2 linked regions of the Arabidopsis thaliana genome follow. The protein of the gene in region 2 interacts with the protein of the main gene of each other region in a pairwise test. Each region holds a gene or a part of one and is shown on either strand. Other genes may lie near its edges. The genes, in order: FYPP3 and PIN4.

Evidence for each region.
Region 1: the proteins of PIN4 (region 2) and FYPP3 interact in a protein complementation assay, tested with the Arabidopsis thaliana proteins (one study listed by BioGRID).

The regions. Positions count from the first base shown.
Region 1 is NC_003074.8:6,959,737-6,965,744, reverse strand, and holds FYPP3 (flower-specific, phytochrome-associated protein phosphatase 3), read right to left. Parts: upstream 4,010-6,008; 5' UTR 3,738-4,009; coding exon 3,657-3,737; intron 3,371-3,656; coding exon 3,224-3,370; intron 3,137-3,223; coding exon 3,069-3,136; intron 2,828-3,068; coding exon 2,770-2,827; intron 2,282-2,769; coding exon 2,171-2,281; intron 2,088-2,170; coding exon 2,037-2,087; intron 1,932-2,036; coding exon 1,788-1,931; intron 1,698-1,787; coding exon 1,602-1,697; intron 1,509-1,601; coding exon 1,437-1,508; intron 1,068-1,436; coding exon 984-1,067; 3' UTR 539-983; downstream 1-538. Other genes in the region: AT3G19990 (E3 ubiquitin-protein ligase), read right to left, coding at 1-149; AT3G19970 (alpha/beta-Hydrolases superfamily protein), read right to left, coding at 4,378-4,648, 4,809-4,999, 5,171-5,276, 5,365-6,008. UniProt on the Arabidopsis thaliana protein: Catalytic subunit of protein phosphatase 6 (PP6). Dephosphorylates phosphorylated phytochromes, with a preference toward Pfr forms.
Region 2 is NC_003071.7:179,387-185,672, forward strand, and holds PIN4 (Auxin efflux carrier family protein), read right to left. Parts: upstream 4,379-6,286; 5' UTR 3,814-4,378; coding exon 2,619-3,813; intron 2,462-2,618; coding exon 2,194-2,461; intron 2,055-2,193; coding exon 1,969-2,054; coding exon of another isoform or gene 1,958-1,968; exon of another isoform or gene 1,592-1,957; coding exon 1,434-1,591; intron 1,340-1,433; coding exon 1,263-1,339; intron 1,159-1,262; coding exon 1,092-1,158; 3' UTR 647-1,091; downstream 1-646. UniProt on the Arabidopsis thaliana protein: Acts as a component of the auxin efflux carrier. Plays a role in generating a sink for auxin into columella cells. Maintains the endogenous auxin gradient, which is essential for correct root patterning.

The sequences.
Region 1 (6,008 bases), on a different chromosome or scaffold from region 2:
AGCTCTCCTCGGAGAAAAGGTCGGGCTGATTCCAGTACGGCGTCGTTCGGGGATGGAGATGATGATGAACCCATTTTGTCTCTATTACTCTCTTTCGGTTGATGATGATCGCTTCTCCAGCATGGAGGATTAAACCTTTTTATTAGCATTAAAAAAAAAAAAAAAAGACTTAAACAATGACTCTTTTAAAAAAACCATTGACCAGGACCACCAGGTTAATATTTTATGATTTCCCTCTATTAGATGACCAAGCAACATTGATGTTCATCGGCAAACAGAACAAGAACTGAACTCCCCCACTTCTCATAGTGTTTCACTGTTTTGTAATAAAAAGAGTTACTATTAATTTTAAATCATACAAGCATGCAACTCACTGAGCAACTCATAGGAGTGTAGTTATATAGTGAAGATTAATTAACTGAAAATTACAAACTAAAAATTGCAATTCTTTTTACCACATTCATGACTGCATATAATAACTTTTTTTTTTTATTGTAAGGACTACCCCTCTCTCCATTACTTGAGACAACAATCTGTATCATAGATCTGAAAGGCAACACACCAAAAGCCGAATGAAATGATTGAATAGCTCGAGACCGACAGGTATTCATTTATTGTTGCGATACTGTCCCATTTGTAACGATGTTTGATTATTTTAGAATTAATGTCATCTTCACAACAACAACAACAAAAACAGAGGAAACAGTACAAGTGAACAATGAAAAAAATAACATTACAGAAGAAAGATTGGGGGAAAGAAAAGAGAGCAGAGAATCAAAATGACTAAGACTATTACCAAAGTGTTTGACTTGTAACTTTCACAAGGGAAATGTAACCTAAAGGACAAAAATAATGATAGTAAGCGAAACCCATCAGTAGATAATATATATAATCATATATTAACCTTTTCCACATTGAACTGAACATATTGCCAATGGCAGCAATGGCTTCATCATCACAGCAAATATAATAAGTGTGATTCTTCATAGGAAATACGGAACTCCAGTCCTTGGCCCTCTCATTTGATTGTTCTCTTCTGTCTCTGTGAAGAACTTCACTTCCCTTTCCTGGTAATACAAACATTTCAATCGATTTCATCACTAACCCATGCAGGAAGGAGGATCCTAGTAGCACAGACAGCTTGAATCTATGGTCAATGAAAATCCACTACAAATGCAGAAACAGAATCTATGGCTCACACAGATATTCAAACCTCATTGCACATGGCTTACTTGATTTAAATTCTCTAAATTACTTTCTATAATCTTCCTAGATCCATTAATTCAAAGAGGCACATAGCAAATCAACAAGAGTGTACATATTTTGATAGAGTAGAATCTTAAAAGAAATGATTAAAATCACTGAAGTAATAGAATCCCTTCTTGCTGACAGAGAAGATTAGAGTATTCATTTAGGAAAGACTAAGAGAGGCTCACCATGTTGTCATTGAAACTCAATATAGAAGCGACATTCCCACAGCGGTAACAGTAATTAGGTGCAGACCATACCTTCACAAACAAAACAAAATTAACAATCACTAAGCAGAGTTTCAAAACGCCCACTAATAAAAAATATCAATTCATTAGAAGCAGGACACTCACAGTTACAAGGCCTTTATCTTGGAACATGTACTTAAGACCTTCTTGTACAAGTTGGTGCGCGCGGCATACTAGATCCAGCTTGTTGATATGGTTAAACTGCACAAGAAGCCAGAACCAAAGATCAGAGATGTGAAATTAATTTCTTAGTTACAGTATCAATTCAAGCTTTTGAGAAAGTAAACATACCTCAGTGGTAACCCTGGATCCGAAAAGCCAACCAGCTCCACGTGGACTAACCGCCCATGTTTCAATATCTTCAGGATCACTCCACATAAGATCGCAAAAGGGCCCTTCATGAGGAATTTCGCAATTTCGCTCGATCAGTCTTATCTAGAGCCCACAGCAAATCTATGTGAGTGGAGGACCTTAATAACATGCCAAGCTAGAAGCATAATTGACGGGTGAAAGCCACAAGCAATAAAAGCAGAGTTTAACCTGATCAATTGTCCGGACATCCGGGGAAAGGCCACCGTGAACACATAGAACCTAGACAAAGCAAACTATTTTAGTATAACATACAGCTATATGTGTTCTCATCAACAATGCCAAGTTGCTAAGAAATCACTTACTGTGCCATCTATAATAGCTGACAGGGTAAGATAGTCAAAAACATCTGTGCAATATCGCCACGCATTAGCGTTACCATACTTCCTCTGGCATTCGTCATAGAAACCATACACCTAAAAAAGTAAATCAAATGGTTCTGTGTTATAAAGGAGTTCAATGTCGAGAATCCATGTATAATTTTGATCATCTAGTCAGCAGATTCACGAAATGCATATTTGAATTGCACTTTAAGAGGTATGATTGCAGACTAAGTCTTAGTAAAGGTTTGCCAGGAATGCATTCAAATACAAAATTATCACCACACTTTCTTCCTTAAAAACCTATGTATCAACTAGAACACTAAGGATTACACACATGCTAAAAAGGAGACTGGTACTATATGAAGCACCTTCTGAAATTAGCTTTCCAATACTTGATTCACATAAAATGCATCTTAGCTAACATCGATGTCTACATCTGACATGACATTGCCACATGTAGTACAAAATCAGAACTTTCAAAACCCTGCTGTAACAACGAGAAGATAATCAACATTGCTTACCTCCTAGGAACAGCGTGAAAAGCAGAATAATAGATATAAGTGGAACAGAATAACACATACCTGCGTTAGCTGCCTACTTTCATGATTTCCGCGCAAAAGTGTAATATTGGCTGGATATCTACATATTAGAATACAAAGAACAGAGAAACATGAGATGCTAAAGAAACAATATCATTCTCGTTTGGACTAATTTTGAATGCAATACGTTACTGGGACTATTTCTTCCAAAGAAAGATAAATAATTATCAAGATTAATTGCTTAATAAACAATAAGTTCGTATTAAGCACGAACAAAAAAAAACTTAAAGGCAAAGATTCAATGATAACAGGAATCTCCAGAACATTTATGAGCACCTTACCTAGCTTTAAGAAGTAAAAGAATAGTGAAGACTTCAAGGCTGTTGTAACCTCTATCCACGAAGTCCCCCTGCGAATTTCCCACACCAGATTATGATTGTATTCATAATTTCATATCAATATGTCATACAAGACACCACAAAAGAAAACTCGGTACCATAAAAATGTAATTGGTGTCGGGAACATGACCTCCGGTCTGAAAAAGCTTCATAAGATCATGAAACTGGCCATGGATATCACCACATACGGTGACTGGACTGTTTACAGGCTGTACGTTTGACTCCTCAATCAGAATCTCTTTCACCTGTATAACATTATGATAAACATCTTCTGGTTAACACCATGATTCATCTTCGCAAATCTATAAATCAATCGCTGAGAAAGGAGACCATAAAATGGTATCTAAACTACAAAATTGATGCCTCCATAGTTGAAAAGAAAGAAAAATCCTAAAATCACTACAGACCAGATCGAAGTCACGTTCCACTAAGGTATATAAATACAGATCAAACCAAGCAGAGAAGAGCACAAGAAGCTTAATCGACCAAGAGAAGAAATCAAGTAAGAAGAAGAAGAAGAAGAAGGCGTACGTATTCGCAGAGAAGCTGAAGCTCGTCTTCGGAGAGATGCTGACCATCTTTAACCTTGGAAATCCATTGATCCAAATCCATAACTCTCTCTCTATATATATATACCTCTGACTGGTAAAATCTTCAACACTTTCGTTCGATTTCAATAGCGACTTTTCTGGGAAAAAAGAGGAATCGAATCGAATCGAGATAGATCTACCAGAGAATCTTCGACTTCGTTAGGGTTACGTAAGAGGAGGAGATGAAAGAGAGAATGAGAGGTTCGAGTTTCACAAAATGACACATACGGCAAAAAGAAAAAAAGATCCCAGATCGATCTCTGCCGCTTCCAACGCAAATCAAACTTTTGCGTTTGTCAAAACGCAATCGTTGACGAACCAGCGTCTCATAAGAAATACGATTGTGATCCCTCATACTTCTAAAAATTATGAGAATTGCCAAAAACTTTATGATTGGGTTCTTAACAACCCTCTTTGAACAAATAACAAAAGACAACCATAAGATCCAAATCTCCACTACAAAGGACAAGGACGTCACTTTCTTGAATCTTCATTCTCCTAAATGTACAATATCCAACAATTTACAAAGGAATAATGAATTTGAATCTATAAACCAATCCAAACCAAAAAGAATCATCAATCAGTAACTATTTTTCTCTTTCTTGTATAAGAGTTAAAAGGACCCCAAAAATGGTTAGCAACAACAACACTTGTGGAAGTCGCTATGAAGAATGGTGGCAGCAAGAAAGGACAAAGTTGTTCATGAAATGGTTGAGCTCAGCTGTATACAGTTCTGGGTTACTCCGGAAATGGTCTACATGAGGTGAAGATATGAAGTTGCAAGCACGGACCTCATGTCCTGCTTTCCTCTGCTCTACAATGAATGATTCAACTTGTTCCACCGGTATAACTCTGTCTGCAGAGCTGTAAATGTATAACTGTGGACAACTTGGTTGTGCTGTTGATAATGTGTCAAGAACATCGGCAAGTCTCCTGTTAAAAATATGATTGCACGCATTTGTTAGTGTGAAATCATAGGATATGGGTGACAAGAATGAGTGAAGAGATATGATTGCCCGCATTTGTTAGTGTGAAATCATAGGATTTGGGTAAAAGAATGAGTGACGAAACGCGGAGTTTTATTGTATGTTACCTGTTTACTTTGGGAAGATTTAGAATCACCGCAAAGAACTTTTCAAGAACCAAAAGCAAAGCTGTTTCTGTTGCAGCGGGTTTAGGCTGGGAGATGTTTATACCGTTTGACTCATATGATGAGCTCGCAGATCCTTTAGTGGCTACACTGCTTTTCTTCAAGAACGCAGCTGAGAAACCTGATGCCCATACCTGTTTTAACAAAGCCAAATTAGTATCCAGAAAGTTCAAGCGAATAGTGCAGAAATCTATAAAAAGAATAGCACCCATCAGCGTCTAGCAAATCAGGTATCCAAGCCTATGATTTAGCACAAGCCAAATGACCATATAAACATGGCTATGAATGCAAGAATCATCGCTTACCGTAGGATCTGCAGCAGCAACAGGAGCTGAGTCCACTATGCAACCTTTAACTCTTCCCATCAATGATGAATCTTGCTTCTGAAACTTTTCCAAAATGGCTCCATATCTGCATAGATGAGAAACTCGCTTAGTAAAATGTAAAACCGCCATGTAACTATGTAAGCACATGAAAAAAACAGAGATATTAAACTCACGTTAACCACCCGGTGTTGCTGAAGGTGTGAAAGACGAGATTTTTCTTTTGCTCTTCATCCAACCAATCAGCCAAGTGATTAACCAGCGACTCGATGTTCTTCTCTGCTTTCCCTCCAACTTGATAACTCATAATCTCATTCATCGGAAGAGTAAATGTAATGACATGGTAACCCTTTGAAGTGTACCAATCAGCATATTTCTTCAGATGCTTCTGCTTTGATCCAAGCCATCCAAGCAAAACCACAACAGTTCTATTCTTTTCAGACACACAACTCGAAGAACCAGACATATCGACTGCACTAGGCTCAGGTAAATGCCATCTGTAGGAAATATCAGGAACCACAAGTGAGGCACCGATTGTGAATGCAACCGGTTTCGATGCTTTAGCCAACTCTGCAGACTGATAAACACTACGAAGAGCGGACAGAGAAGTAACAGAAGTAGCGAGACTACAGCTAGGATTAGAAGCTAGGAGATCAACATTTGGTACAGGAACACAAATCCTCGACACAAAAGATAAATCTGCAAGCTTGGAGGCCGAGACTTGAGAAACCCACAAGGACCTTTCTTCCTGAACTAAACCAGACACTGAAGGAGCAATCTGCTCTGATTCAGAACCTCGAACTAGTGATCTAAGAGATGA
Region 2 (6,286 bases):
ACCAATCCTAATACGAAAATCAGATGATCAATTCATAACATTAAAAATGTTTGAAAAATGAGATTCACACTACTTTGACATTATAAAGACTACGTTTGATAGTCTCGGGACCATTTTTTCTATAAAGGGTGGTCTTTAGATTCATGTGCGGAAGTTCACAGAATTTGAAGTTAACATAAACTTTTTGAGATTTTTTTCTGCTAGAGATCGTGTATTCTTAAAAAAACGGGACCGTAAACATGCATCGTATGATCATAGGATTAATTAATTAGAGATTAGGATTTTGCTTCTGTCGTAAAACAGTGTTTGTTATCAAGGAATATGCTTAAATTAACTGTAATAAAATAAAATTACTGTCTTTTGAAACTTTTGCTTCTGACTGTTCAGACCTGATTTCTATCATTGACAATCAAGACGATTGACCGACATTCGCAGCGGAATTGGCATCCTATCGCTCCTTAGTTTGTTTTTTCCTTTCTTTCCGTATTAGATTTTTTTCTCGTAGTTTTAACACTCGAACTGATTGTTTAGCTAAAAAAGCTCGGGGTAGAAATAATATTTTCTCCTATGTAAGCATAATGGTTCATGAATGGCTCTCTCTAGCGGAGAATCTCTTCCCGATGAATTAATATTAATGGTATTTGTGGAAAAAATAAATCAGTACGAGGGTGTATATATATAGTATAGGACTATTTCAATCCAACTCATAAGCTAGTTTCAGTATAAACCACTTAACTAGAAACTTCAATTAATAAAAAAAGGTGCATATTACATATCTGCTTAGCCAAAATCTACACATAAATTAACAAAAACAGAAAATGAAAAAATAAAGGTAAGGAAGAGAGATTTTTTCTTCTTGGCGTCTAATGAAGACAAGATCCTTAATCCATTCAAGTCTTGTTCACTAAATCCTAAGTACTTTTGTTGTGTTCCACAAATATTGGAACCAAAAACCAAAGGCATATCTTCTTCTTCACCTTCCACTCTTTCCCACGAAAAATAAAGGCTTTGCTTATTTCCTCGTTACCGAGAAATAAATAGCCCAATCTCCGAGGCTCTCTCAAAAGCCAGTTGATACTGAAGGGACCAATTCAAAGGCCAAGAAGAATATAGTAGACCAGAGTTATAGGTAAGGCTATTAACATTCCAAATATGACCCTGCATCCATATTTTTCACCATCATTCACACATTTGTTAATATATTGTAAGTTTGTAACAAAAATAAAAATGTGGCTGTAACATAAAATAAGTTTGGAACTTACCCAGTGCTTAGAATCGTGGGATGCACATTGTACTCTTTTGCAAACACAAACGGAACTATTCCTTGAGGCAACGCAGCCTAATAATTCATGCATTCATCAACATCATCATCGTGATCATGTAATATTTATAATAGACCTAGCTATATCATGTAACGTTATAAATTTGTATACCTGAACGATGGCTATACGGAGAAGGTCGCCGTGTAAGCCAATGGCAATCCCAGCAACAGCCATGATGGCCGGACCGGTTATAAATCTGACCGCCATGGCAAACGTGGCGACAGAGTTCCCACAAGCAATGATTTTGGGTTGAAGTGCCATGAATAAACCTTAAAATTACACCAAAAATAAGCAATTCATTAACTAAAAGGATTTGAGAAAATTGACAGCAAAGAGTTAGGTCATCTACTTGGTGAGACCCAAATAAGTAGACAGAGCCAGTGGGGACTCGGCGTGGGGACCGGACACACCAACATGTCTGGGTCAGAGGGTCAGGATTCTCTCTTTGGGTAAGTGCTTTGTACAGTTTATATGACTTTTACCAATTACAAGCTGGACAACTACGACTAATTAAACACACAGACCCACTTTGCATTAAATGAATCTTTTTTAACAGATAAGATGAGAACAAATTTGAACCCAACTTTAAAGATTAGATCATCATCAAAACAAGTCTAGATTTGCATGAAGCAAGGTTAGTGTTTACCTAAGCTGAACATAGCCATTCCAAGACCAGCATCTGAGAGTATGGAGATGGATTGTTGTAATATTTTGGGCATAGCCACATGCCACCTGCTTCCAAAAACAACCCATACTCATTATTAGTTCCCACTACAATTATTCCATGCATAGATGATTATATTATTTCCTTTTCTTATTATAACATTTATCCATAAAATCTGTAAGTAAGAAAATGATTGGACTCACTGACCGGTAAGCAACAAGAGCCCATATGAGACCGATTAGACTGGAGTACGTGTTTGGGTTTCTGATCAGCTTTCTCCACACCATTATCAATATCAGTCGTGTCATCACACTTGTCGGCGGCATATGTGTTCCGTTGTTGCCGCCGCCATCTCCACCAGCCGCCTCTAGCTCCGCCGTGGAATTAGACCCCATTTTATTCAGCCCTGCTGTAGCTTTCTCTATCTCTCTTTCTCCCTCTCCACTATCAAGACCGCCGATATCATCACCACCACCTGAGAAAACCAAAAATCATGAATACATACAAAAATAATAGTATTCGAATAATAATAAAATTAAACCAACAAACCTCTAGCATATTATTTATGTAAACAATTTTCCGCAATTTTAGCTAAATAATATTTGATGACAAAAAAAAAAAAAAAAAAGAACCTCTAGCATTACTCTTTCGAGGTTGATCAGAGACAACCATCCGAATCTCCTTAGCACCTTGTTCAGATTGTTCCGTTGCCACGTTGTCGCCTGCACCTCCGCCAAACACGTCGGAGACCGGAGAAGCGCTTGAGCTCCAAACAAACATGTGAAGCTCCTTAGCGTCATGGCTCGCTTTGCTATCTTTCTCTTGCAGTTGCTGTTGGTTTTCTTTAGGAATTTTATTCGGTTTAGTTGAAACACCCGTACCGGTTGAAAACTCCGGGTTCGGAGCCGGGTACGAACCGGCCGCCGGAACAGAACTGTTAGTGTTATTGTAAAATCCATATTTAACGGCGTTGTTCTCTTCGAAGTTCGAAGGCCGTGGAGTCGGACCACGAGAAGATTGAACGGAGTACAAATCCGCCGGACCAAAATTCGAAAGCCTCCCGCCGGGAAACCCCATAACAGAGTAAAAATCAGAATGGTTAAAGTTAGAACCTCTCGGAGTCGAACTAAGACTATAGATCTCAGCTCCGGTAAGATTCGAAGGCCGTGGAGTCATCATCAGTGACCGTCTCGATGCGTTTGATTTCCTCACGGTAACATGAAGCTTCCCGTCGTTTCCTATCTCAGCATCCGTCTCAAGAAAATCATGACCGTCGAGAGAAACGACGTCGGATTCAACTTTAAACGAAACAATAGACGCACCAGTCTCCGGGAACTGCTCCATAATAAGAAGCTTAGCGCCACGGTACTCGAAGAGGAAGAGAAGGAGAGTGTACCAAATGATACACTGAAGAACAACGACTTGGACCATTAGAGAACCTGCGTAGGTTCCGTACATGGCGATCAACAGAGGGATCCCCATGACAAGAGTGTTTGGGAGAGTGCTGAGAGAGAAGATTGTGATCATCCACTCCAAGCTACCGTTCTTGGTTAGGTTAGCCCATAGAGCAAGTAAGACGAGCATGATGATTTTTTGAAGCGTGTCGGCGGCGACGAAGCGGAAATTCATGGCGTAAGGATCGTTGGTGGAGATGAAGTGGAAGGAGAGGAGAGGGACGGCGAAGATAGCGACGAAGCGGTTGATGCCGGAGCACTGGTCTGGTGAGAATATCTTCCACCACTGTACGGATCCGTAGGCGAGAATCATAGCTACGTAAAGTGGTACCACGGCGGTGAGGACGGTGTACAAGTCGTGCCACGTAATCATTTTTTCCGGTGGGTTTTGGAGTTTAGTGAGAAGACAGTGGCATTTGAGGGGGAATTAGAAGGAAGAAGAGGGGTAGAATGGGAAGAATAATAAAGAAACCGTTAAGAGAGAAAAGTACAGTAATGATTTACAAGGATTCGGTGAAGAGGACTAATTTATAGAGGTTTTTGAGGCAGTGACAGTGTCATCATCATCATCAGCACACGATTACGTTTTTTAAGTTTGATTAATAATTTGATTTAAAATGGCTTTGTGTGTAGTTGAGTGGGGACACGTGGCAAATCGCATGTGGGGGGAGTTTTCTGGAGGGACGTGGACAGTTTTATGGAATAGTCGTGCTTTTTTGCTACTATCTTATTACGAAAAAGTGGTCTTGTTTTTGCACTTTTTGAAAGTTGCAAAAGGAACTTTGGCGAATACTACGAATTACTGTATCTGTGATCGTTTTTCTTGTAAATGTAATTTGAGTTTTGATTCCAAATAGAATCAAACTATTGTCTACGTACTTGGTACAAGAAGACAGCCACATAAAAATTACAAGAAGAACAAATGTCATTAGTGTTAGGTCCAAGCCACTGTTGGACCGTTGAATTAATTACACACATTTATTCCCTTTTCAAAAATTCTCACTTGCTATGACTAGAATAATATTTTGTTTTTTGTTTTTGTTTTGTTAAACTTGTAAATATCATTAAAAATAAAATTTGAGGTATTACAAAAAAAATATTACTTATAGTTACTTATATTACAAAAAGTATTTACAAGCTCACATCTCGTCATTTTCTCACTCTTAAAATTTTACTCTCCCTTATCTCTAAAACTTCAGCCGCCGCCTGCGTTTAGGGTTACCGGTTCCGGTGGCTTTCTCAGCACCGGAACCGAAGTCTTTTGTTTTGCTCTTATTCTATCTTTTTTCTTTAGACACATCTGAGAGATTTTTTTCCAACGGTTGTGAATCTGAATTTTCAGATCTAGATATTTAAAGTCTAAAACTTTTTCTTTTTAGGTTTTTGCTGTTTGTCTTTTGTCTTTTTCAAGAACAGAGTCAGATCTGGCCGATCCATCCAAGGCAGAAGCGTTTCTATCCAAATTTTCGCCTCAGACTTCTGAAATTCCACCTGAAGATCCCGATCTCGTTCTCTCCTTCATGAGGCTCTCACTCCTTTGGGTCTCTGGATGATGGTTTTATCTCATCGCCCATTCGTGTTTAGGTTGAGTTAAGTGAGGCTTCTAGTCTCAGATCTATCAGTTTATCATTGTTGTTTTAGACTTTGTATATTTCGTTTGAACTCTTGGATTTTGGGTCTGGGAAGTACTTGATCAGATGTGATGTAATTTGTTAGATCGGTTTTTTTCCCCTTTGTTTCATTTAAATATGTTTTTAGTTCCTGGAAGGTCCCATGTACTCTCCGGCTTTTAGAAGAGTGTTTCTCTTGTCAGCTCTTGTACTCAGATCTTCTATCAATGAAATCTATATTTCCAGTGAAAAAAAAAATAGTTATAGATAGATGTTGGTCTGAGACTCTCCGACTCATTAGACCATCCTCATCGAATAATTTTTCATAGATGTATTTCATATAAAATAATATTAAAGGTATAGATGTCTTAAATGTTTTAGGAAGATATAATTTTCATTTTAATGACCCTCATATTTTTTATTTGTTTTACTCTTTTATATTTAAAAATAGCCATCTAAAAACACTCATAAAAATAACCAATGTGGATACTCTTAAATCAGTTTGGACATAACCAACAAAAAGGAAAGAATAAAGAAGTAGGTGGTCGCAAAATCACTAGGATTTGATAGATTCAAGCAGAAACTAAAAGGAGCGAGATTTCTGGGAAATATCAGAGAAGCAGACGAGGTCAAGTCCTATAAATCTGATGGAGAGTAATGTATAGAGGCATCAATTGTACACTAGAAAATCCCTAATATTACTTACTCATCTAGCTCTAAGAAGTAAGAACATCTCAGCGAAATCTTTGTAACTTTATTTCGGTATATAAAAGTCCAGTTTGATTCTTAAAATTGTGATCATGTTTGATTCGATGGAGGACTAGTTATGCGATCTTGCATCCACAATAGAGTAATATTGACCAGAAAGAAATTACAAACAAAGTTACAATAGTATGACATGGAAAAATACCAAATCCAAAGGATCATCAACGTTGGAATGTAAAAATTTTGATTTGTGTAACTCATAGTCATAGGATGTGTTCGAGGAGTGAATAATCTCCCATGCTTAATACTAGTATATATCTGGATGCGAAATTCGCAATTTTTTTATTTTTGTAGCGAAATGGTAAAAAGAGATTCAAAACATTCATCCAGCAATCACTTTAATTAATCCGAATGATTGCAAATGAAAATAGATTCTTTATTGAACACATATGTTTACAAAACAAGAATAGTATTTTTTTCTCATAAGCCTTCCGGAAAAAGTCTACTTCATCATAGAAAAATGAGAAAAAT